Oryctolagus cuniculus: one gene and its partners. The protein of the gene in region 2 interacts with the protein of the main gene of each other region in a pairwise test. Links are inferred from orthologs where the notes say so. Each region holds a gene or a part of one and is shown on either strand. Other genes may lie near its edges.

Region 1 (4,249 bases), on a different chromosome or scaffold from region 2:
CAGCTGGGATCGGGAGTGGAGCTGCCGCCCTGGCCCGGGGAACTGTGCCACGGGACGTGGGTGTTCCAGCCAGCATCCGGCCACTGCTCCAATGCCCTCCCCTGGGCTCTGCTTTCAGCTGAGGGACCTGCCTTCCCCAAGAAACCTCTCCCAGCCCTGTGGCTCCGCCCCACACCGTGGCCACCTGGCAGCCTGGCAGTGAAGCCTTTACTTCCCAAGTGCGGCTGTTTAAGTGCCGTGAGGGGAAGGCGGCACCGGCCTGGGCATGGCAGAGCCTGCTGGTCTGCAGCACCAGCCCAGAGCCCGGCTGTCTGGGCCTCCGTGGGATCCCCTGCAGCCCCGTGTGGCAGCCAGCAGCCTGGAACAGCACGGCTTCTGCACCCCAGCTGGAACAGAAGTGCGCAGAGGGGTGTTGGGGATGGCGGCTCGGGCTGGAACACGGAGGCCGGGAAGCCTCTGGGCCCTGCCTCTGCGTTTGCCATCTGGAAAGATCTGACACCGCAGGCCTGGCTCTGATAAATTCAGAGGTTCCTCCGCCCCGACCCCCACCCCCGAGAGCGGGCTGCGGCAGGTGTGTGGTATAGGCTGGTGGCCGGGCCACTGGGCTCTGGAGCCCAAGGACTTGAGTTAAACCCTGGTTCTGCATTTCCTAGCTGGGCGACTGGGGGCTGGTGACCCAACCCCCTGGATCTCAGCTCACTCATTGGCCCAATGGGAACAACAAACCTGAAGGGAAGGGAGGGCCACGGGGGCAGGGGTGTGGCTGTCACCCCCAGTGATGGACGTCCCCCTGGAAACACGCCCCTTATCCAGCCTCGCCCAAGGTTCTTTTACCTTCCGGGCCTGCGATGTCTTCAGAACTGTCCCCGCCCTGGCCAGCGGGGCTGGCCACCGCGCCCCCACCACTCTTGGTCCTTCGGAGAGCACTCAGCGCGCGGTTGATTTTCTTAAAGGACCGGCTCCTGATGGTGCACCGCTCAAAGGGCCGTGCTGTGGGAGAGAGAGGAGAGTCGCTGTCCGTGGACAGAATGTCTTTCACGGGTGCACCCGGTCGGCCCCAGCGACTACCGCTGTGTGGCCACATTCTAGCGTCTGCTCACCTACAGGATCTGCTCAACTTTCTACAATGACGTGTTTGCAGCTTGTTGAGAAATCTGTCTTTTTCTTTCTTTCCGGGGCAGAACTGGCTAGAAGAGCATGTGCCCCGGGCAGTGCTGTGTGTGTGTGTGTGGGGGGGGGTGGGTTGAGGACCCCGCAGGCCCCACACCAAGGCACAGACACAGCCTTGGTGATCTGGGATCCTTGGGGCTTTGGTCTGCTTTGCAGACTGGACATTGGGTAAGCTGCCAAAACTACCCCAACAGTTTCCCGTTAAAGCAACATTCCTAGAACTGTCCATGGTGAGTTAGCCACAGAGGGCAATCCCAAGGCACAGAGCCCACCCCCGGACCACTGCCTGTTGGACTCACCCCTGACTGGGTTGCTGTGGCCGGTGTCGGCCACGCTGTTGGCTGCTGGCCCGTCCTCCACCGTGCACACGTAGGCAGGGTTGTCCAGGCCGGGCTCGTCCGCAGCACAGGGGCTGGAGGTGGCTGTGGCGGCCTCTGGGGACAGCGTCGTGGCTGTGAGGCTCGCGCAGCCGTCGGGACAGCCATGCTGGGAGCGCCGCTTCCTTTCCTTGGTCAGGCCGTAGTGGGAGACACCCTTGCAGCTGTGACGAGACCGGGGGACACGGTTGGGACAGGCTCCGGTGGGGCTGCCGTGGTCCAGTCAGAGCCTCTTACAAACCCCAGGGAGGGTGGGTTCCTTCCCCGCCCTCAACCTCCCTCTCCCCACAGAAGTGCTCCGCCGACATGCTGCACTATGACTTGAGAACATGATTGTATTTATTTATTTATTTACTTAAGATTGATTATTCGACAGGGAGAGACACAGACGAGGAGAGACACAGTGAGTGCTCCCACCTGCTGGTTCACTCCCCAGATGCCCTCCGCGGCCAAGGCCAGGGCAGGAGAGATCTGGGAGTCAGGAACTGGACCCAGCTCTCCCGCACAGGTGGCAGAAACCCAGCGACGGCAGCCATCGCCGCTGCCTCCCAGGCTGTGCAGCAGCAGGAAGCCGGAGCCAGGAGCCAGGAGCCAGGGACAGGCATCGAACCCAAGCCCCGTGATGTGCAATGCAGGCATCTGAACAGGAGCTGTAATTAACGGGCCGAATGCCCAGCCCGGAGAAGACAGCTTCTCAAGGCTGCTTATTGTCGTCTCCAAAGCCATCCCAGCAGCGGGTGCTGCACTGGTCACGATGACCACAAGCCCGGGCCTGGAGCCCGGCGATCCGCGGACGCCTGGGCGTGGCGACGCTTCTGCAGGGTTTGCTCTGACCCCGCCCGCTCCAGGTCGCACTCTCTGCTCCTCTGGGTTCTGCTCCCGCAGCACAGAACACAGAATCGGGCTCTTCCCAGGTTCCGTGTGTGCGGCCGTCCAGGACAACAGCATCGCTGTCACCAATAGCCCCAGAAGTTCACTTGGCATCTCCGGTCCCTGGGGACGGGCTGGGGGGCCTCCCTTCTCCAGCCTTGGGCTGCTCTGAACTGGCCCCCGTGCTCCTCCAAGAGCCCAGGCCCAGGGGCTGGGGCTCCCATGAGCTGAAAAATGTCACTCATTGCAGCTGGGAGCTGAAAACAGCGTTTACGATTTTTAACAAAGCCTATTCGTTCCCGCCCATTCATCATCCCTGGAATCAAAAAAACTGGCCGCTCCTAAGCCCCGCCCTTTGTGAGGAAGGCGAGCCACTGGGGTAATAGATGGACTAGGGAGAGACCGGCCGGGGCTCAGGTCGGGGCTGACGCAGTGTGGGTGTCGTGCAGGAGCCTACGGCCACCGCCACGGGGCTCATCACAGCCAGCGGCCCGGTTTCCGTAGGGAGATGGGGATGATCTCACTGTGTTGTGGTGAGGGTTCCACGAGCAGCCACGCCGGCTCCCACGGCTGTGGTGAGGGTGGAAATCACACCAACGAGCCCCTTTAACAACCGGCCACTTGCTGGGGTGGGCCTTCGGCCTAGCAGCTAAGCCACCTGCGCCCCATGTTGGGGTACTTGGTTGCAGTGCTGGCTCCAACCCTGCTCCAGCTCCCTGCTAATGTGCACCCTGGGAGGCGGCAGTGACGGCCCAAACAGTTGGGTCGCCGTGGCCCATGCGGGAGATGTGGGCTGAGCTCCCCGCTCCCTTGGATGGATGCGCTAGTTGTAAATTATTCTTATCAGTTCATTACACAAACCCCGGTGTGACTGAGCTTTATTAAGTACTTCTTTGAGAGCCTGTCTGGTGTGGTGGCTCACGTGTTGGACAGAACCAAACCTCAGCCCACAGCTGATCTGCGTGGGATTCACACTGCCTGTGGACCCAGGGAACCAGCAGGATGGGAGGTCCTGGTGTCTGGACCAGAGTCCTGGCCCTGCTGGGAGTTCTGGGGGAATTTGATTGTCCTGGCCACACTTCCTGTCCTGCACACTTCTTGCTGTGAGGGTTGATAGACATTGAATCTAGTTCCAAGCTAGACGCGGGGGTTCGCCCCTCATCCGCGTTTTGCCCTATGTGGTTTCAGTTCCCCCAAGAGAAACAGTTCATGAGCTTTAAGCCACCTGCTGTTCTGCGCAGCAAGAGGAGATGACGAGGTTGTGTGTGGTCATGCTCCCCCACCTGCGTCCAGCGTCTCCCTGCTGCCCGTTAGTCATCCGCAGCCGTCTCAGTCACCAGGCCGACTGCCACAGGATCACAACTCGCGTTCAAGTCGCTCTCATTTCACTTAGCAATGGCCTCAATGTGCAAGAGTAGTGATGCTGGCAATTTAATTACAGTCTAGGATTTTAATGGTTCTATTTGATTTGTTATTGCTAATATTTACTGTGCCTAATGTATACATCATAGATTTGTATAGAGAAACAAACAAACAACACAACATAGCGCAGGCAGAGTTTGGTGCGTCCAGCCGCAGTCTTGGGAACGCAGTCTCACCCTTGGGTAAGGGGGAGCACTGTGCAAAGTAAGTTCTCAACAGACTGCAGCTGCTCCCACAATTCATCCGTTCTAAGACGCTCGTTTGCCTACACTTGAACATGTCTGAGATCAAGATGCACGTGTGGCCTGCGCCGCGGCTCACTAGGCTAATCCTCCGCCTTGTGGCGCCGGCACACCGAGTTCTAGTCCCGGTCGGGGTGCCGGATTCTGTCCCAGTTGCCCCTCTTCCAG
Region 2 (4,249 bases):
ATGGTCCCTGGGCCAAAGCATGTGAGCATCATCTGGGAATTTGTTAGAGATGAAAATTCTTGGTCCCTATGACTCATTTACCGAATCAGAAGCTCTGTGTTTTAAGAACCCACCATGCATACTGAAGCTGAGAACTATGGGGCATTGGCTTGCATTCTTTGACGAGTTAGCCATGTTAGAAGTTTTATGGACAGTATCTTTAATTCCCATAAACCTTCTCTGAGGTAGAGGTTATCTCAGTTCTACAGATCAGGAAAGGCAACGTTGCTACTTTGCTCATGGCAACTGGTAAAACCACATTTTGAATTCTGGCACATAGTAGGTACTGAATAAACAAGGACTCAGTACTCTGGGGAGATGGCTGTGGCTGATGGCAACTTGAGTCTATAAGGATCTGCATTTGCTGTGCCGACCTTCCTGCATGTCCCTTCTCTCATTTGTTCCAGAGCCTTATAACAGATCTGTCATTTCAAAGCACTCTTCTTCCAATAATTTCTAATTTGGCACAGAAAATACCAGTCACTGGCTCAGTCCCAAGTGAGGAGGAGGCATGGCTTGACTTAGTAGCTGCATTTCAAAAGGCATGGAGAGAGCCGTCCCCATTATCACATTCCTGAACTTGGAAAATCTGGCACTTTATGAAACAGTGAATGACTGCAAAACCTAGTGTGTACCTTTTGCCCTGGTGAACCTGTATGAAGGGTGGGAATGCTACTTCCTCATGTTTTATTTATAAGGTGTCATTGACTCAGACACTACTAGGGACTTCCTGTTCATTATTCTCCCTAATATAAACAACTTCTAGGTGTCACTGAACTTGTTTTTTTTCCAGATGAAAAAAAAAAAAAAAACACCACAGTTTAGATTAGTGAGCTGATTTCTCAGGGTTAACACAGCAATGAAACAGCAGCCTTGGGTTTCAAGACTGTCTGACACTGGTACAATTGGGTGTTGGGCTCTTGCTATTTGAGGCTCACTTATGTTCTAACCACTCAAAATATTCTTTAGAGGGTATTGATGAGTACGAGACTATAAAAACTAGTTTTACTAATTTTCTTTAAAATAATACACTTGGCATTTTTTAATTTGAAAGGAACTCTGTTTTATTTTGGTTATATCTAACAAACTAGTTACAGTGGGTTTAAAGCTAACTAAAAACACCCTGATGGACAGCAGAGGTTTAATAAACATTAGCTTAGTGGGATTCTAAATAGTGTTTGAAGTGGTTTATTGTTTACTAGCGGATGGGAACCCAGGCTGAGCTGCCAGTTCTAATAAGTGTACTGCTCATACGTAAGCAAGTAAATCAACGGGGAGCATAAACAGGAGTTTATTGACACATGTGTCTTAACCCTTAGAAGGTTTTACAGAATATTTGTGTACTCTAAAACAGCACTTTTCACTTTGGGGTGATTTCATCCTCAGGGGACATCCGGCCATATCTGGAACCGTTTTTGATTGCCACAACCGGAGGGAAGGTATGCTACCTGCATTTAGTATGTAGAGTTCAGGGTTGCTGCTAAACACCTAGAATGTACCAGAAAGTTGCCCATAGCACATAGTTTTCTGGCCCAAAATGTCAATAATGTCAAGGATGCAAAATTTTGCTCTGCAGTAAGAGTAGCTGAATGGCCTTACTTTGTTCATTTAGTTCTCTACAACCTTTCCCAAATGCCTCCAACAGGCTATGCACTCTGTGAGAATTATGGGAAGTGTAGGATTGTTGAAGACATATTCCCTGTCCTCAAAGAACTTAAATTTCTTTCACTTGTAGCAGACACACAAGCCCACTGACAGAGCAAGCTTTGTTTTTAAAAGGTGCTTGCTTACTTATACAGGGCTTTCTTTAGCACTTCATTTTGTATTCATTATTCTTCATTGAAGCTCGTTGAGTTTGAGTACATGGATCACTGTGTAGATCATACAGCCTGAGTGCACTCTGAAGGCATTCATTTTCAGAATAGCATGTGAACCTGGCTGGAATGACATAACCTAATTGCATTAACATTAGATTGTTTTTTGACAATTCACTGTGTTGGCCATGCAGTGATCCATATCACCTGTGACAGTAATGAAAATGCCAAATGCATTGTACCATGAGCTTTTTCTTTTCCCTTTTCTATAGTCAAGGTGCAGACTGGGTCACAGATCACCTTCCCCAAACTGTGTTGAATAAGCATACTTGTGCTCAAGCGTGTCTGGATCCTGACTTGGCTGCATGGTTACTGCTTTCTAGATGTTTGCAGCAGAAAAGTGAATTGGGGTAGAATCACTGACTGCAAGAACTAGAAGGAGGCACACTGCTCGTGCAAATCAATTCACTTATTTTACCAATGTCACACACGGAGTCTCAGGAAAGTCACATGACGGCCCAAGGACACAGTTTATAATGGAGGAGCCAACAGTAGAACCCTGGGCCTGGACTCTGCACAAAATCACTGAATGTTGGTAACACTGATGCTGGTAGTACTTCAAATGTCATTAGCCTGATAATGTTTTGCTACATGTACTACTGAATCCTTTTAGTACTCCATAGCCTTGGACACATGAGAAACCGCCACCTACAGAAATCAAATGACCCACCCCACAGTACAAATCTGCTCAGGAATAAAGGTAGTCCCCAGGTTCTTAGTCCAGCACTTTCTGTGCAGTCACTTTTTTCTATTTGACTACTAGAAGCTCTGAGACAAAATCTGGACTCACCCCTAATAATGGTACAAGCTCTAAGGCTGCTGCAACTCTGCACTAAGTTTCCTCCTGATGTTAATTTTCTAATCTAATTTTTAAATTTGACCCCTAAAAATATAGATTTTCACATTCATTATTCATTTTTATATCAGTTAAAACCTGTATATCATAAGCTTGAATACACATAAATGAATGAACGAATGAGAAAACCAACAAAATCCTAAGAGACAGAATGACACAGTGGAAACATACTAGGCTTATAGTCAATTGAAGCAGTCTGGTATCTCTGTCTTTGAAGCTTACTTTCATTATCTGTCAAACAGGTTTAACAGAACCTGTCATAAGTATTGATAAAAGTCTTAAAACAGACACAGGGCATGTAGAGAATGTGTATCCCAGTATGCCTTCGGTGGCACCCAAACTGGTAACTATTATTACTAGTAGCAATCTCAACAGACAAGATGGACAAAACTTAGACGTGTCTTCCGATGGTCAGAAACCTACAGCACCACTCACTGCTCCTGTGTCTTTTTGTACTTGTATACTTTGATCTCTTTTTTTACCTTTCCCTTTCTCCACCTAAAGACACTAACAAACCAAGATGAATTCAGATACAAGCAGCTGTCACTTTATCAACGGAGTAAATCCTGCGTCTTAAGTGAGGGGCACTCACGTGAGTTGGTCGATGGCGTGGTAGAAGTCACGGGGGTCAAATTCAACTGGGAGATGTCAAAGTCATCACAGTCGTCCGTATCCTGCGCCACCCCGACTTTGTTGAAGTAACTGGAGAAGGCCTCTGAGGTACAGGTGAGGGAGGGCTGGTCGGGTTTGCGGGAGGGCACGGGCGGAGGCTGAACCATCTGGAAATCCTTGAACATTTCCTTCCCCATTTTCTGCCTGGGCTTGTCGGTCTGTGGACTTGACCTGGTGGAGTCACTCGTGCCTGGGACGGTGGCGAGGGGGGTGAGGGGACCTTGGAACATGGCAGCTGGCAAAGGCATAACAGTTTGTGTGGGCATGAAGGCGGCTGGCGGAAACTGCCCGGCCACAGCGGGCCAGGGCTGCTGGGTGGCAGGAAAGAGACCCGGCTGGCCCCATGCGATGGGCTGAGCCCCCGGCATCACCTGAGCGACTGGTGGCTGAGCACCCATGGCGAGCTGCTGCTGCACGAGGGGCTGTTGGCCCCAGAACGAGGGGAGGACGGCGCCCATTGCCACATAACCTGGAAGGGTGGGAAGGGAGAGAAAGCAGAATGCATGCATTCAATGATTGACAGAGACATACTGAGCAGCTACCAAGTACCAGGTATCTAGGGACTGGGATGCCAAGAAGAGGAAGAGAGAAGTTCATGAAGGCTAACCTAGAGAAGTCCAGAGGGGACCCAGCTCCTAGGAGACGATTCATCAGCAGAAACTCGAACACACTGAGGGAGCAAGCTGGGTACATATCTGGGACATTATAATAGCATTTCCTCAGTTGTTAAAGGTTTCTGAAATCTGCCAGCCCACGAGTCTCAGTAGAAAGAGAGAGGACAGTTCACAGGCATGCCTGGGTTATTCTC
Region 3 (4,865 bases), on a different chromosome or scaffold from region 2:
CTGGAACTCAGCCCGTCGCCATGCCAACCGCCCGCTGGCCCGCCCGGCGCTGGCTTGCTCTCAACTCACATGCCAGCCGCCAGCGCCCGTGAGCCGCGCCAGCCCAGCCGCCGTCCGAAGCGTCCCCGGGGCCAGCCACTGGATCGCTGCCCCCAGCTGGCCTCGTGCCTGGGCGTCGGAATCAGACTGGATCTGAGTCCCGCGCCCCCAGTGTAGCAGCTCCGCAGCCCAAGGGCCTCAGTTTCCACGTCTGTCAGGTGGGCACCCACCTGCCAGGATACAGGGAGAGCACGTCGTACACCGGTTTATCACGGTGTGGGCGCAGTTAGGGCCCAGGGCATGCTGGGACTCGCCGGACGTCAGCACTGTCTCCTGCGTTGTGTTCCGACCACGCTGGACGGAATTCACAGCAAAACCCCAGATAACAGGGCTTCAACAAGACAGACGTGCTCGTCTCCTCCCTCACACAGCCCAGGTCTGGTGGCTGTGTGCTCCTCACACCCGGCTCCTCCACTCCAATTCAGTTTCCATCGTGTGATGCTAGGTGGCTGCCGCAGCTCCCGTCATCACACTTACATTCCAGTTAGAACTTAGCTCAAGGACCACAAACTGCAAGGGAGGTGGGAAACAAGTCCCATGGGCTGAAAAACTGGGAGAGCCCCGCATAGTGACACTTGCCCCCTCATAGTGACACTCGCCGTAGGAGTTCTGGCCTGGGTCGGCTCCCCTTTGGGGGTCGTCTCTGTATCTCGGGGGGCATCAAGCGTGGGCTCCTTCCTTGTGCTTGGGGAACGCCCCCGGCCGTGCAGAGGCCTGGTTCTGCCACTGGTCTCCCTGCGCGGTGCCTCCGTGTGCCTGGCCAGCGAGGGCGGGCCTCCCCGTGGCCGGAGCTCGCCCCCGCCAGCCCTTCTCTCCGGTCCGTCCCCACAGGCTCGTTCCTCCCGCCATCGGCCTTGCTGCCCGACACAGACTTCTTCCCCAGCACCGTGTCCCTGCCTGGCCTGGAGCCGCCGGGCGGGCCCGACCTCCTGGACGACGGCTTCGCCTACGACGCCACGGCCCCCTCGCTCTTCACCATGCTGGACCTCCTGCCGCCGGCGGCGCCCCTCGCCAGCGCGGTCGCGGGCAGCGGGGGCCCGGGGGCCGCCATGGGGGAGCCACCTGGTCCCGAGCCGCTGACCCTGGACTCGTACCCGGGCCCGGGCCCCGGAGACGGCGGCACCGCCAGCCTCGTGGGCAGCAACATGTTCCCCAACCAGTACCGCGAGGCGGCCTTCGGCGGCGGCCTCCTGTCCCCGGGGCCTGAAGCCACGTAGCCCCCCGCGGCGGGGCCGGGCGAACCCCCATTCCCTGGGGGCCCCCGCGGTCAGTCCTCGACCTGCTCGTCCTGCATCGGACATCTTCCGCGCCGGCGAGGCGCCCCGAAGCGCGGGCTTCCCTCTGGGTCCATTTCACAGAGAAGGAAACGGGCCCGGAGGGGAGCGGGGCCTCGCTCCCGCGCCCGGTCCCGTCCCGCCCGGCCGCCCCGGGCCGGACCTGCGGGGCCTCCCCCCAGGCGGATTCGGAACGCACTGTACATATCGGGAGGCAGATCCCCGGCCTCCCCCAGACCTGAAGACGGGGGGTCGGCTGTTTGTCCAGTCTTCCAATAAAGATAGTTTTTGAGCCTTGGGGGTCTCGCGTCTTCGCCGGGGAGCCCAGCTGAGGCTTCCGACTCTCCTGCGTCCCGCCCTCCCGGGCCCGCCCCTTTCCCGGGCCCCGCCCCCGAAGGCCACGCCCCGCCCCCGAAGGCCACGCCCCCGCGGCGGCGGAAACGCGCTCCGCGGCGCTCCTCCCCTCCCCCCGCGGCGCGGCCCACACTTCCGCTTCCGGTGCGGGCCGCGCGCGCGAGCGCAGCGGTGGGTGGCGGCGACCAGCCGGTGAGTGCAGACGTGGGGGCTGCGGAGTCCTGCTCTTTGATCGGGCGTGAACCCAGCTTCGCCCTGGCCCGAGGCCGTCCCCGTGCTGCCCTGGGCCTCTCCGGAGCCCGGGCCGCCGCGGTCGCCCGCCCCTCGCCGCCCTCGGCCTGACAGGCCGCAGGCCGCGCCCCTGCCCCCGCCGCGGGCCACAGCGCGCCGTGCCGGCCCCGCCGCCGGTCACAGGCGCCGCCCTCCGGTCAGAGGGCCGGCCCCAGCGCGAGGGCACGATCGGGTCAGCCGGCGCGCCCCCGCCGTCAGCCCACCTGCGCCTGCCGCGGGCTCTGCCCGTCCGCACGGACCGGCGCTCCCGCTGACCTCAGCCCCCTCCGCTCTCCTCCGCGCGCCCCCGCGTCCCCCGTCCCCCGCAGCTGCCATCGTCTTCCGTGCGCGACCCCTCCCTCCGCCTCCGCGATACGTTGTATCTTTCGCGTTTCTCCGTCCCTTCCTGCCCGCATCGCGGGTGGCCCGAGGGGAGCCTGCCCCCCAGCCCCTGGGAGTCTGCACACTCGCCGCCTCCGATCGCAGACCTTTGACCCCTGCACCTGCACCTGCTCCTGGGACTCTGTCCCTTTCCGGGGTTGCGCGCCGCACGGTCACCCACGGGTTGCTCGGAGAGCCCCAGCTCCTGGCTCAGGGTTGTCTGGGGGTCCCGGGAGCCCCTGGCACCGGCTTCTCCAGCCTCACTCCCCCCCCACCCGCATCTGGGCGATGAGGCGTTGAGGGTCACCAGCGTGTTGCATGGTTTTTTCAGACCGGCGGACACTCCGGGTCCCCTCATCCACCAGGTTGGGGCCCCGGGGGCTCGGCCGCAGCGCGATGTGGCACGAGGCGCGCAAGCATGAGCGGAAGCTCCGCGGCATGATGGTGGACTACAAGAAGAGGGCGGAGCGGCGGCGGGAGTACTACGAGAAGATCGTGAGTTCCAGTGCGCGCCCCTCCCGGCGCGGGGTCCTGCAGGCAGGCCCGACGCCCGGGTGGAGGCGGGGCTTGGGAGCCCTGTGGGCTCGGCTCTGGCCGCCGTGGTGCGCGGTGCGGCCTCCGCGCGCGGGCCTGAGCAGGCACAGGGAGTCCTTGCAGCGCCGCCCGTGGGCACCCAGCGGCCGTCTTCCCGGCGCCCAAGAGCTGAGGCACTTCTGAGGCTGGGCCTGGCACACAGCAGGAGTGGCGTCGGCATAGAGGAAGTGACATCTGACCACGTCCCCTTCCCGTTGGGTTCTCCGATTGCTGTTAGTGAACAGACCCAGCTCCGGCCCGGCCTGAGGGGCGCAGGTGCTGTGGCCGCGGCCCCGGCCTGTTTTCCACCTCTGACCCCCGGTGGATCGCCTCGCCTGTTTAGGTCCTACCAGTCCTCGGGATCCGCCGTGAAACACGCGTGTTTGCGGCTCCGGGGCTCCTTGGGTGGTTTGTACAGAGCGCCCGGCTCGCCACCGTGCCAGGGCCCCGCCTCCCAGGAGCCGGCCGCCCCCGTGCCCCTGCCCCGGACTCTTCCCTGGCTCCCTCCCACCCTTGGAGGACTCAGCTCTTCACCTCGGGCGCAGGGTCCCGCATGGTCTGCCTTCTGCCGCGCGCCCTGCTCTGCCTCTTTACTTTGCCCGGGCCATCCGGGCCTCCTTGCCGGTCCTCTGGACCGCAGTGCTCGCCAGCGCGGGGCCCTCCCGTGACGTGTCCCCACTTCCGCTGCCTCCTGCTCCTCTCAGATCTCAGGCAGGGAGGTCTTGTCCCCACGCTTGTGCCGCCCTCGCAATCGTGAGCTTTCATACCCTGCGTGTGTGCGTGTGTGTGTGCGCATGCGTGTGCATGCGTGCGTGCGTGTGTCTGTGTCCGCGTGTGTACACGGCTTCTACATCCAGGTCCACACACACCCAGTCAGCCCTGAGAGAGCTTGCATTTGCATGCCAGAGCCCAGCCCAGGAAACAGTCTGAAGCAATAGACAACAGTAAGACCAGCAGTTAGTCGGTTGGTTTTCTCGGGCTCCAGAGAGGTCTTTAGATGTGTCGGGTCTTTTTTTTTTTTTTTTTTTTTTTTATTTGAGAGGCAGAGTTACAGATGGAGGGAGGGAGAGAGAGAGAGAGAGAGAGAGAGAGAGAGGTCTTCCATCTGCTGGTTCACTCCCCAGATGGCTGCAGTGGCTGGGCTGTACCAATCCAAAGCCAGGAGCTTCTTCCGGGTCTCCCACGTGGGTGCAGGGGCCCAAGCACTTGAGCCATCTCCGCTGCTTTCCCAGGCTACAGCAGAGAGGTGGGTTGGAAGAGGAACAGCTGGGATTCGAACTAGTGCCCATATGGGATGCCAGTGCCCCAGGGCGAGGCTTAGCCCAGTACGGCACAGTGCTGGGCCAGCTGTGTGGGTTGTTTAATCCCCAGTCACCCGTGGGCAGGGGGGCTGCTGTTACCCCACCCCGCAGAGCCCTCCAGTTGCCTCTGGCACCCGGCAAGGAGCCACCGGGCAGGAGCGAGCTGCTCTCCGGTGGTGTCGGAATAACTAGAGCGTGACCACGAGCCCAGGGCCTGGGTCAGGCTGGGTCCTAGACAAAGGCCCGGTACGGGCCAGGAGCTCGTGGGCACGTGGAGGGAGAGCTGCCCCTGCCGCCGGCCTCTGCCGTGCCCTCCCTGTGCAGCAGGCCTGGGGGCGGGGCGCCAGCCGCCGTGCCTCACTCAGCCTGTGCCTGTGCTGCGTCCAGTCCTCACTCCAGACCAGGAGGTGCACCTGCTGGGGGGTGGTGAGCTGGGGCTCAGAGGGCAGAGCTGGCGTCTTAGCCAGCTGTTGAGCTGGTAGTCTCCTGCGGACGTGGAAGTTCAAGGAGGCAGAACCCTTGTCTGAGGTGGCGGCGGCTGAAGGCGCGATGCGACGGTGTGGCCTCCCGGTGCGGGCCAGGGCGCTCTGGCTCAGGTTCGGATGCCAGCTCC
Region 4 (4,831 bases), on a different chromosome or scaffold from region 2:
CGGGACTAGAACCCGGTGTGCCGGCGCCGCTAGGCGGAGGATTAGCCTAGTGAGCAGCGGCGCCGGCCTCAGTCTGTGGTATTTTATTATGGAGCCCAAGCTAACAGATCACTGTAACCATCCAAGGGAACATGAGTGAACAGACAGAGGGGTGCCTAATCCCAAAAAGGTTTAGGGACAAACTCCCTGCCCTGCCCTACAACTCAATAAGCTGCTTCTAGTCCAATGGCACCCAGGCACCAAAGGGGAAGGGGCCTGGGCAGGGAAAGAAGTCAGGATTATGTCCCCAGAAGACCTAAGATCCAGCAAGGGGCCCAGAGGCCCAGCCTAGGACCACTGGCCCTCCCTGGGTGGGGGATCCTCAGGTCGGGGCCTCCCTGGGACCCTGGGCACACAGGCATGGAGGGACGGGAAACAGGCAGGGATGGCTCCCCCTGGCTGGCCGCTTCAGGCAAGGACACCAACAGTGACACTGGGCGGGCCTCGGATTCCTGACAGCCCCTGGCGGCAGCCCAGCAGCTGCAGAGGAGCTGATGCTGGGAAGAGGAGCCTCTGCAGAGAGGTGGAGGCGCTGATTCTCGCTGCAGACGCGTCTCCCGGGGCAGCACCGGGTCCCAGTGGGCACTGAGGAGACTCGTGTGGGCCCAGGCTGCCAGCTGGGGAGGGCGCTGGCCAAACCATCGACTCCTGATCCTCTGGAACACAGCCAGACCGGGGGAGCAGTCACCTGCACACACAGGACAAGGCCCAGGCACCCAAGGCTTGTGGAAAACACACAGGATGTCTGGTTACTGAGTGCGCCACAGCCAAGGCCGGCTCACCACGGCCTCCTAGCAACCTCTGAGGGTCCTGCACCAGTCCCACCTCGAGCAGGACGACACTGAAGTCAGAGAAGGTCGCAGTCCAAGGTCACCAGAGGGTCTATGCTGAGCCCACCAGACCGCCCGTGTCCAGGCCCAGAGATCTTTCCAGAGAAGCAGCCCATGAGCCCAGGCCTTCCCTCGACCTCAGCTCCCCCATGCATATGCCTCAAGGACTGGGGTCAAGCCCCAGACACCGAGCCCACGGCTCCCGGCTCTTCATGGGGACACGCGCCCAGCCTACAGAGGCAGCCACCGAGGCTCAGAGAACACAGCTGCTCCAGGACACACAGCTGGCACAAGACCCCAGTCCTGAGGAGCCCAGGGTGTGGTGGGCCTCCCAAGCAGAGCCTCGCCCACTTCACACACCCCTGCATCCTCCCAAGTCTGTCTCCTGAATCTCTCTAGAATCCGCCTCCCCCTCATTTCCACCCTCGGCCCACCCCAGGCTCGAGCCACACTGCCTCTGCCTGCAATCTCTCCCACAGCCTCCACAGGCCCCCCCCCCCCCCCCCCGCGCTGGCAGCCTGCTGACATCCCCAAATCTCCACCTACGGAAGAGCGGGCCCGGGCCCACCTGCTCATGGTCTATCCCTTCCTAAGACCCAAGCTGGTGAGTGCAGCCCCACCGCAGCACCGACCCAGAGCTGGGAAGGCCGCTCAGCCTCCTGCCACCTTACCCGGATCACCCCACATGTCCTTTTGGCCTCCCTGCTCTGCTGAACCCAGACCTGCGTCCGGCTGCCTCCCCAAGTTCCGCCCCCAGCCCCCAGGATTTAAAGGGCCCCGCCCAGGATGAGCCTCTTCCCAAGTTCCCTCTGGCAGGAACTCCTGCAGCTCTACCTCCAAACGCCCTCTTCCTCCTGGAGTCGGCGAGCCTCAGAGCAGGGAGAGCAGAAGTGGAGAGGATCCCGGCCCGAGAGCCCCTGCTCACCGTTGATCAGCTCCAGGGCCTCCTCCTTGGTCCGGGTGATCTTCTCCTGCCGCCAGGACGAGGGCCGCCGGGACTGGCTGTGTTTGACGAGCAGGTGCGAGCAGCGGACACGCGCCGGCTCCCCCTGCCCGATTTTGCCTCCACCGCTGCTGCTGTTGCCGCTGGGGCGCTCCCACTGGCTGGCGTTCGTGATGTGGTTGAAGTAGTACACCCGGCCTGCGGGGAGGGCAGCAAACCCATCGCGTGTCCACCCTGCGCCACGGGCGGACACGGCAGCGCACAGCCCCTGTACTGAGGGGGCTCACATGCTCAGTGGGGGAAGACAGGCTCCAAACCAGCAAAGACGACAACAAGAGAACCCCAATGACTGCTAACTTCAGGGAAGAAAAAATAACACAGGGGATCGGGGGGTTCCAGCAACAAATCCAGCTGAGCCACCCACTGAGGCTAAGATGCTGTCTGTGGGCCTTATCTCCCCGAGCCTCAGTTTTACTCATCTGCAAAATGGGGGTGAGCGAATCAACACCATCAAACCTCCCCTGGGTCGACACACAAGGACTATTACTTCGACTGTGGCCACTGCGGGCTCCAGGGGCGGCAGAGGGACCCTAGACCTACTCAGAGAAGCCGGGCCAGCTCCTCGGGCGCTCGCGGTGACACAGGAAAAGCGCCAGGGGCCCTGGAGCAGGCAGACTGGGTTCCAAGCCGGCTCCAACCCCCCTGAAATGCACGATCTTGGAAGACATCCTTCCACTTCCTGGCCTCAGCGTCCCCACTTGTAAAATGGGCGCACCAACGACCCATCTCCCAGACGTGCGGCAATTCTCAGAGAACTAAAAACACGATGCGGGGTGCACACCTAACGGGGCCAAGCTTTCGATTGGGCTCCAAGCAGACTCAGGAAGAGGTGTGGCCGGCAGGTGTGTGTGCCACGCCTCTCTGCTCGGTGAGGGGTATCCCCCTCCCCAGGGAGTGCCCCGGGCCCAGCTCCCCGCAGAGCGACAGGTGCAGCAGGCCCGTGCTGGCTGCAGACAGCCGGGCTGGCAGACTCAGTGCCGCCGCCTCAGGGAGCGCCGCGGCCTCCCCGGCCCCTCCCCCGCCCCGCCCCCTGCCTCAGTTTCCTCCCGGCTCCTGAGCCTTGCAGCCCTCCACGGGGGCGGGCCGGCGCCGTTACTCCGAGGGCGACGCGGAGGAGCCCAGACCTCACGGGACGGAAGCGGGGGGCTCCTCCGCGCTCGAGGGCAGAGCTCGCGCCCTGCTTCCGTGGGCCCGCGCGGCCCTGCCCCGGCCCCGATCCCCGCGGCACCTGAGCTGCGGCTCATGCGCTTCTCCCAGCCGGGCGGCAGCTTCTCCTCGTCCGCCATCTTCCCTCCTGCCGCAGCGCCCGCTCCGCCTCCGCCGCGCCGCCTGTCACCCGCGCCCGCCCACCGACGCTGCCCATTGGCTCGGCGTTCTCCGCACCGGGGCCTGGCAGCGACGCTCATTGGACATTCCAACCGTCAGGATGAGCTCTCCGTCTTGCTACTGGGCAGAAGCGAGAGTGGGCGGATCCCCCCACGTTACACTGGTACCCGGCCCCTAGTCGGGCTCACTCAGGCCCCGCCCCTCTCCTCTCCTTGGCTCCTAAGTGGTGGATTAGAGACTCGAGACCGCCCTTCTCAACGCCCTTTGGCGAGAGCGAAAAAAGTCCCAACCCCCTTCTTGGCGCTCTTGGCGGGCGGAACCCGACCCGACAGGATAGAGCTTATTGATTGGCTGCCGGGGCAGCAGTTCCCGCCTGCCCGAGCCGTTCCCGGAAGGCCGCACGACCCTCATGCGGAAGCGTCTGGCCGCTGTGCAGGTTACTTGTGGGAGGAGGAGGCGGTGGTACCCGTGCTGTTGCCATAACAACGCAGTTGCCTTGGTGACGAGCAGCTCAGTGCCCGAAGCCTAAGTTTGGCTTCTCCAGCCTCCCTCTTCCCACCTGCTTCTTCCAGATGTCCAAAGCCAACCCGGCCTCGCTGGGCTAAACCATTTTCCCCCCGCGGGCCCTTTGGAATCTACTTATTTCCTCTCACTCTGGCTGCTTCCTCCTCCCTGGCGAGGAGAGCGCGAGAGGAGGCGCAGGTGGGAGAAGCATGAGCTGCTGCGGGGGTGGCCGGGAGTGCCAAGGGCTGCAGGTGAACAAGGGAGCGCTTTATCGGTGTGCCAGTTCCAGACCTAGCTCCTCCACTTCTGATCTGGCTTCCAGCTAATGCACCTGGGAAGACAGCGGATTATAGTCCCTGCACCCACATGGGTGCCCCTTAACAACATCGAGGCTCAGAGACGTGGCTCAGGGAAAACACAGAGGCAGGACGAGGTAGGAGGCCAAGGGCGCTGCGGAGCCACCTTGCTTGGGGGTGAGGGGGTGCGAGCAAGTTACTGAACCCCCGTGCTTCAAGTCCTCCGATTGCAAAGTCGGAGGAAGCAATACTACCACTTCTTCTGTCTGATGCGATGGTTAAGGAGTGGTCCCTATAAAGCACTCAAAACACTTCCTAGCCTACAGCTAAGATATGTTAAGTATTATAGGCTTATATCACAGCAAATTTATAGATTCATTAAAATGTTGACTACCAGTGGTGATACAAGTCAAATGACAAAAAATGAAGAACTTTTTAATGTTCTCATTTTTAAGCACATCTTAGCATAATAATTGTAAAAGATAATTGGAGTTGCAAAAATAGATTTCACCCAGCTGGCAAATGGGATAGCATTTGACACAGCAGAACGGAAGTTTTCACTTAGGAGCAGTTTTGTTCTCCAGGGGACATCTGGTGATGTCTTGACAGTTATGGCTGTCACAAAGGGAGGAAGGGACAATTTAGTGGGTAGAGGCTGTGGAGACTGCTGCACATCCTGCAAGGCATGGGCCAGCTCCCCACAGCTCAGAATTCCCCAACCCCAAATGTCAGCATTGCCACAGCAGAGAAACCCTGCCATGGAATAATCCTCAAAGCTAGGAAATCAACAGCGGTGTGAACCTCTTCACTACACACTGGTTCCATCTTCCCAC
Region 5 (4,871 bases), on a different chromosome or scaffold from region 2:
CCTTTATATATGCACAAATTATTTCTTCTATGAAAATGAAATACATAATCTATCTTGAGAGCACATGCACGGTAATCACGCTTATTTTTGCAAATACAAGAGTTTTCTCAAGTATCAGCACGTATTTTCATTAATATAATAAATACATATATGCCACATATGACACTTATATGAAAGTTGGCTTCATTAAAAATAAGTAGAAAGTCAATAGATGTAGGAGGATGCAAATACTTTTAAAGGTCTGGAAGACCCTTATTGGCTAGATATAGAAGGTTTTCTTTTTGAATTCAAAACATGTCAGTCTCTTAGTTTGCACCCAAACCATAATTTTTCTTTCAGGCAACAAATATTCTTTATTCTTGCAAATGGAAAAACAATCAAAAGAAGAATAGACAAAACAATCAAGAAAAAGAAAATATTTCAATGTTCTTTTGGAAATTCAGTAATTTGTGTCACAAATAGCATTGTTTTCAAGTGAAATTAAATAGTGTAGTTGTCCTTCGTTAAGGTGAAATAGAGCACTCTGTAACCAAGTCTTCCTTTCTACAGATGGACACTTTGAGAAGGTCGTCTAAGAGGAGGCAGAGATACCCACTTAACTGAGATTATTATCAAGATCAGGTCTGGCGACTCCCAACAGGTCACCCACATGTCACCCACAAAGCCAACCATTCTTTATTAAGGCAAAGACCAAATTTTATGATTCTGTAGCCATCCACATTTAGCACTTCTTAGAGTCAGTAAAAATGTCTGTCTTACATAAGTGTTACATGAATATAATCTATTGAAACAGTAAAATATATCTATACTTCAAAAGTCAAAATTCATCTATCTTGCTATAAATTATTTATAATATTAAATGAGGATACTTCAAAAAGCTTCATGGTAAAATTAAATTAAAAGACATTTATTTTGTTGGAAAAATTTGAAATCCACTCATAGTTTTTTTCATAATGTGAATTTTCCATTATCCTTTTTATGACCGTTCATATCTAATTTCACTTTAAAATTCTGGGCTTTTGTAACCAGCTCTGAATGGTTTGTTAAAATGACAGTATGTGAAATAAAAAATACATGTAATGTATCCTGCCATTCTCATCATGACACAAACATTCTCCTTCAGCAATCTGCATGTCTCATAAAAACCCCCTCGGATAAGCACTGTTTTTTCTTTTGTAAATAGAATTTTCTCAAAGAAAGAAGAAATTTTAAACTTATTTCTCATAATCTGTCACTGAATCGGTCATTCAGACTTTAGTAATTCTCAATAATAACAAAAACAACAGCAATGAAATCAACAAGGCTATCTTGCAAGAAAATGGCATTTTTTCCTACTTCTTTGGCTTTCGTTTGCAGTTCTGAATTACAATGATGACCAAGTTAAACTAATTTCTATGGGCTATGTTTTCTAGTGGTTTTTATCTACTTAGTGTAATATTACATTATTCATGTCATACCCATAGAAATTAAAAATGCTTCTATCTTTTTAAAAAAGAGAGAAGAGGGGTATCAAAAAATGGTATTGTTGCAAATAGCAAAACCAAATTCTGATTAAAGTAGTTGTGTTTAATTAGCGTGAGATCCATAAAGATGCACAATTTTAATGAATCTCTTACAACTATCAATTTAAAATATTTGATTGGCTTAAGGATGTTAAATTGAGTCAAGGATTCATTTTCCAAATTTATAACAGTAATAGTATCTTTCTCTTCTCCCGATAGTTATGACAGCATGTATTGATATAGAGAATTGCAGAAAATAGTTTAAGAAGACAAGCGGTCACTAAATACTACAATTAAATCAGCATGATATTATTGTGTCCTAAAGTTACAAAACAAATCCGTTAACTGTTGAAATAAGACTTTCTTTTGGGGAAGTCATGAGACTTGTCTGAAATATAAGCCAAAATTAAATAAGCAATCAAATATATTACTTGGGATATCTGTTTTACCAAATCTCATACAAATGTGTAATGTGTGGCAAATTCTCAATATGGTTAATTTACAAAAAGTACTCTGAGTTATGAAAGTTATAAAAGTACTTACAGGCAAACTACCTGAACGTCATTACGTATAAAACCAGACTAGTTCATTTAAAATGCACTTTTAAAGCTGTACTAAATTAAACATATGGGATGATTTTACCAAAGTCTAAGCAAGCAATGGATTTTAAAAGGAAGATTTAAAAATTGCTATCTTATGATCTTATGAATATAATCCTATTGAATACGGTTAATATGTGTACCATTATTCTAGATTGGCTGAAACAACAAATTTTTTTCTATTGCTTCTAGATTATTTTAGAATTTCATTAAAGGATAAATTTCCACTTAGTTTAATTTTTTTATTATCAATTTAAATGGTCTTTGCTTTAGTTCTACATTTTAAGCATTGAAAATAAAAATTAATCTTATTAAGCGAATGATGAGTTTCTAAAATTAGCTTTACTTATTTAGACTTTTAAGTCATGCTAGCTATACTATAAATTATATTTTTCCAAATTTAAGTATATTGTGCTGATATGAAAAATAGTATAGAAATATCACATTTAAAATAACACAATATAGTTTCACCTAGGTAAAAGCAAATACAAAAATTTTCTTTTTCTTGGAAAGTGTCAAACAATATTATGCAAAAAGAAAACTATTTGAAAAAGAAGAAGGTTCTCAAATTTATTATTAATCCAGAAGTTTCTGTAGCACAAAGTTGCATGTAAAATTGCATATGAAAGGGGGTGTTTGATTTTACAGGTAAAATAATTGGGAGATCAATAAGAACTTTTTTCATCTTTTTAAAAGCTTTCTTTATAGCTTTTAAAAAGGTTGTTTGTGAGGTTGAAACTTTAAATGTATTGAATTTTTCATTTCAAATATTGACTACTCTCGAGAGAAATGTTAGATTTCTCTAGTCTACTTTGTAGTGTGGCCAACATTTAAATTGTTGGTATATAGATAACAATCCAAATAATAAATGAAAAAATATCAAACAGCATTGCTTACCTCTATGCCTTATTTATAGTTGCTTGTTAAGCTGCTTCATTGGTTCAGTTAAACTGCCAGCACCTCAAAGTGCTCTGTTCTCTGCTAGACTCTCTTTTCTGGCCACATTATTTTTTTTCCCTCCCTGTAAAAGGATAGTGCACCAAAAGAGGAAGTTGTGAAACACCAGAGTCATTATGCTTTATAAATTCTACAGAGAATGGAAAACTATTCAAAAGCTTACACTTGGAATCATGATAGCAAGCTATATTTTGTGCTTGTATACAAATATAATTAATGTATACACATATTTATATGTACAGGAAAATTTTAGAAAAGATATCAAAACTTATACTTGAAATAAATTATGCTCATTTACATAAGAAAATATCTCCTGTGTTACTAAATAAATGAGAGTCATAGAAAAACAAAAAATCCTGCTCTATGTTGAAGAAAACTGTGGCGCTTATATGCGAGGAATAAACTTGCTTTTATAGTAATGTCTAATTAATATAAAGTCTTTGGAATATGACCTAAATTCTAATATGACTGTAGGCAACTTAGAGCGAAAAAAAGGTTTAGTAAATGAGTGTTTTCCTGGAATTTGGGCCGTGGTTTTCTACCTACAAGTCTTATGCTTCCTTTCTCATGAATAGTTGTCTGTTACTTATAGATAAAGCCTTGCAAAACTGAAACTGTTAACCTATCCCCGAGCAATAGTCTCTCACAACTGCAGCCCCAAGAGTAAAACACAGGTGCAGAGCCTACCAGGCTGAGCACTGAACTGGTCAAATATCTTCCAGGTTGGAGCACTAAATGAAAATATTTAAAGGACAATAGGGGCAACAGTAGAAAGAGGACATAAACAGTGGAACAAAGCAAATATGGCTAGCAACTTCAGATAGATACAAAGGTACTTTAAAAAGTTTTGGGAAAATGGAAATAAAAGATATGTTTATTATGAAATATTTAAAAATTTTAAAATCCACACATAGTTTTTTCATAATACTCTTTGCCCACAAAGTTGTTGAATATCCCTAATATACATTTCTCCCAGGTTCAAGTTGCCAGATTACAGAAGCCACTGGATAGTCTTAAGTTTTTGTGTCGCAGTTGCTCCACCCTTCTTGCTCATTGGGGAAACGGAAGGGGGTGGACTGCAAGAAAAATAGTAATTATGCAATCCTCCGCACATTGCAAGAACCACTTTCTGAGTTTTAGAAATTATCATGCTCTCAGGGTATCACGGTTTTGCTTTTTATTTAACCGGATATCCAAAGGTACAATAAAGAGTACTTAGAGGATAATTAGAATGCTATAAGTTTCTATTTCACCTAAACTCATATTTAATGTGAATTTATAGGAAATAAAAACAAAAACAAATTGTAAGAAAGCTGCTTCCTTGGAGTCAGCATTCCAAACCATGTTAAGATGCCACTTGGGGCTCCTGCATCTCATATCAGAGTACCTGGATTCAAATCCCCGCTCTAGTACTGGCTATAGCTTCCTGCTAATGCATGCCATGGGAGGCAGCTGGTAATAGCTCAAATCCATGGGTCCCTGCCACTCATGTAGGAGACCTAGACTGAATGCCTGGCTTCTGGCTCCTGGTTTTGGCCTGGCCCAGCCATAGTTGTGGACATTTTAAGAGTGAACTAGCAGATGGAAGGTCTTTCTCTCTGTGTTTGTTTCTCTCTCTGACTGTCACATAAACAAATAAAGAAATAAAGCAAGCTGTTTCTACCAAAAATACACACATACACACACACAAAACATGAAAAGCACAAGTAACAGTAACCACAACCTTGAGAGTCATCAAATTTGATTTTGATTTTTTAGTGAAATACTTAAAGAAAAATCCTTGAAGAAAAAGTTATTGATGCAACTAAGACTG

What was found.
Region 1: the proteins of DAB1 (region 2) and LNX1 interact in binary tests that used the Homo sapiens proteins (3 or more experiments, as listed by UniProt). The link is inferred for Oryctolagus cuniculus from reciprocal best matches to the Homo sapiens genes DAB1 and LNX1.
Region 3: the proteins of DAB1 (region 2) and CLASRP interact in a two-hybrid assay, tested with the Homo sapiens proteins (2 studies listed by BioGRID and IntAct). The link is inferred for Oryctolagus cuniculus from reciprocal best matches to the Homo sapiens genes DAB1 and CLASRP.
Region 4: the proteins of DAB1 (region 2) and PIN1 interact in binary tests that used the Homo sapiens proteins (3 or more experiments, as listed by UniProt). The two-hybrid records come from large-scale screens. The link is inferred for Oryctolagus cuniculus from reciprocal best matches to the Homo sapiens genes DAB1 and PIN1.
Region 5: the proteins of DAB1 (region 2) and MBNL1 interact in binary tests that used the Homo sapiens proteins (3 or more experiments, as listed by UniProt). The link is inferred for Oryctolagus cuniculus from reciprocal best matches to the Homo sapiens genes DAB1 and MBNL1.

The regions. Positions count from the first base shown.
Region 1 is NC_091439.1:110,395,425-110,399,673, reverse strand, and holds part of LNX1 (E3 ubiquitin-protein ligase LNX), read right to left. Parts: intron 1,712-4,249; coding exon 1,470-1,711; intron 991-1,469; coding exon 835-990; intron 1-834.
Region 2 is NC_091438.1:116,065,079-116,069,327, reverse strand, and holds part of DAB1 (disabled homolog 1), read right to left. Parts: intron 3,911-4,249; coding exon 3,362-3,910; intron 1-3,361. UniProt on the Homo sapiens protein: Signaling adapter of the reelin-mediated signaling pathway, which regulates the migration and differentiation of postmitotic neurons during brain development.
Region 3 is NC_091449.1:11,677,411-11,682,275, reverse strand, and holds the start of CLASRP (CLK4-associating serine/arginine rich protein), read left to right. Parts: upstream 1-1,790; 5' UTR 1,791-1,919; intron 1,920-2,709; 5' UTR 2,710-2,774; coding exon 2,775-2,873; intron 2,874-4,865. Other genes in the region: transcription factor RelB, read left to right, coding at 931-1,316. UniProt on the Homo sapiens protein: Probably functions as an alternative splicing regulator. May regulate the mRNA splicing of genes such as CLK1. May act by regulating members of the CLK kinase family.
Region 4 is NC_091447.1:67,377,265-67,382,095, forward strand, and holds the start of PIN1 (peptidyl-prolyl cis-trans isomerase NIMA-interacting 1), read right to left. Parts: upstream 3,256-4,831; 5' UTR 3,159-3,255; coding exon 3,101-3,158; intron 2,011-3,100; coding exon 1,795-2,010; intron 1-1,794. UniProt on the Homo sapiens protein: Peptidyl-prolyl cis/trans isomerase (PPIase) that binds to and isomerizes specific phosphorylated Ser/Thr-Pro (pSer/Thr-Pro) motifs.
Region 5 is NC_091435.1:128,811,943-128,816,813, forward strand, and holds the start of MBNL1 (muscleblind-like protein 1), read right to left. Parts: upstream 3,103-4,871; 5' UTR 2,999-3,102; intron 684-2,998; exon of another isoform or gene 517-683; intron 1-516. UniProt on the Homo sapiens protein: Mediates pre-mRNA alternative splicing regulation. Acts either as activator or repressor of splicing on specific pre-mRNA targets. Inhibits cardiac troponin-T (TNNT2) pre-mRNA exon inclusion but induces insulin receptor (IR) pre-mRNA exon inclusion in muscle.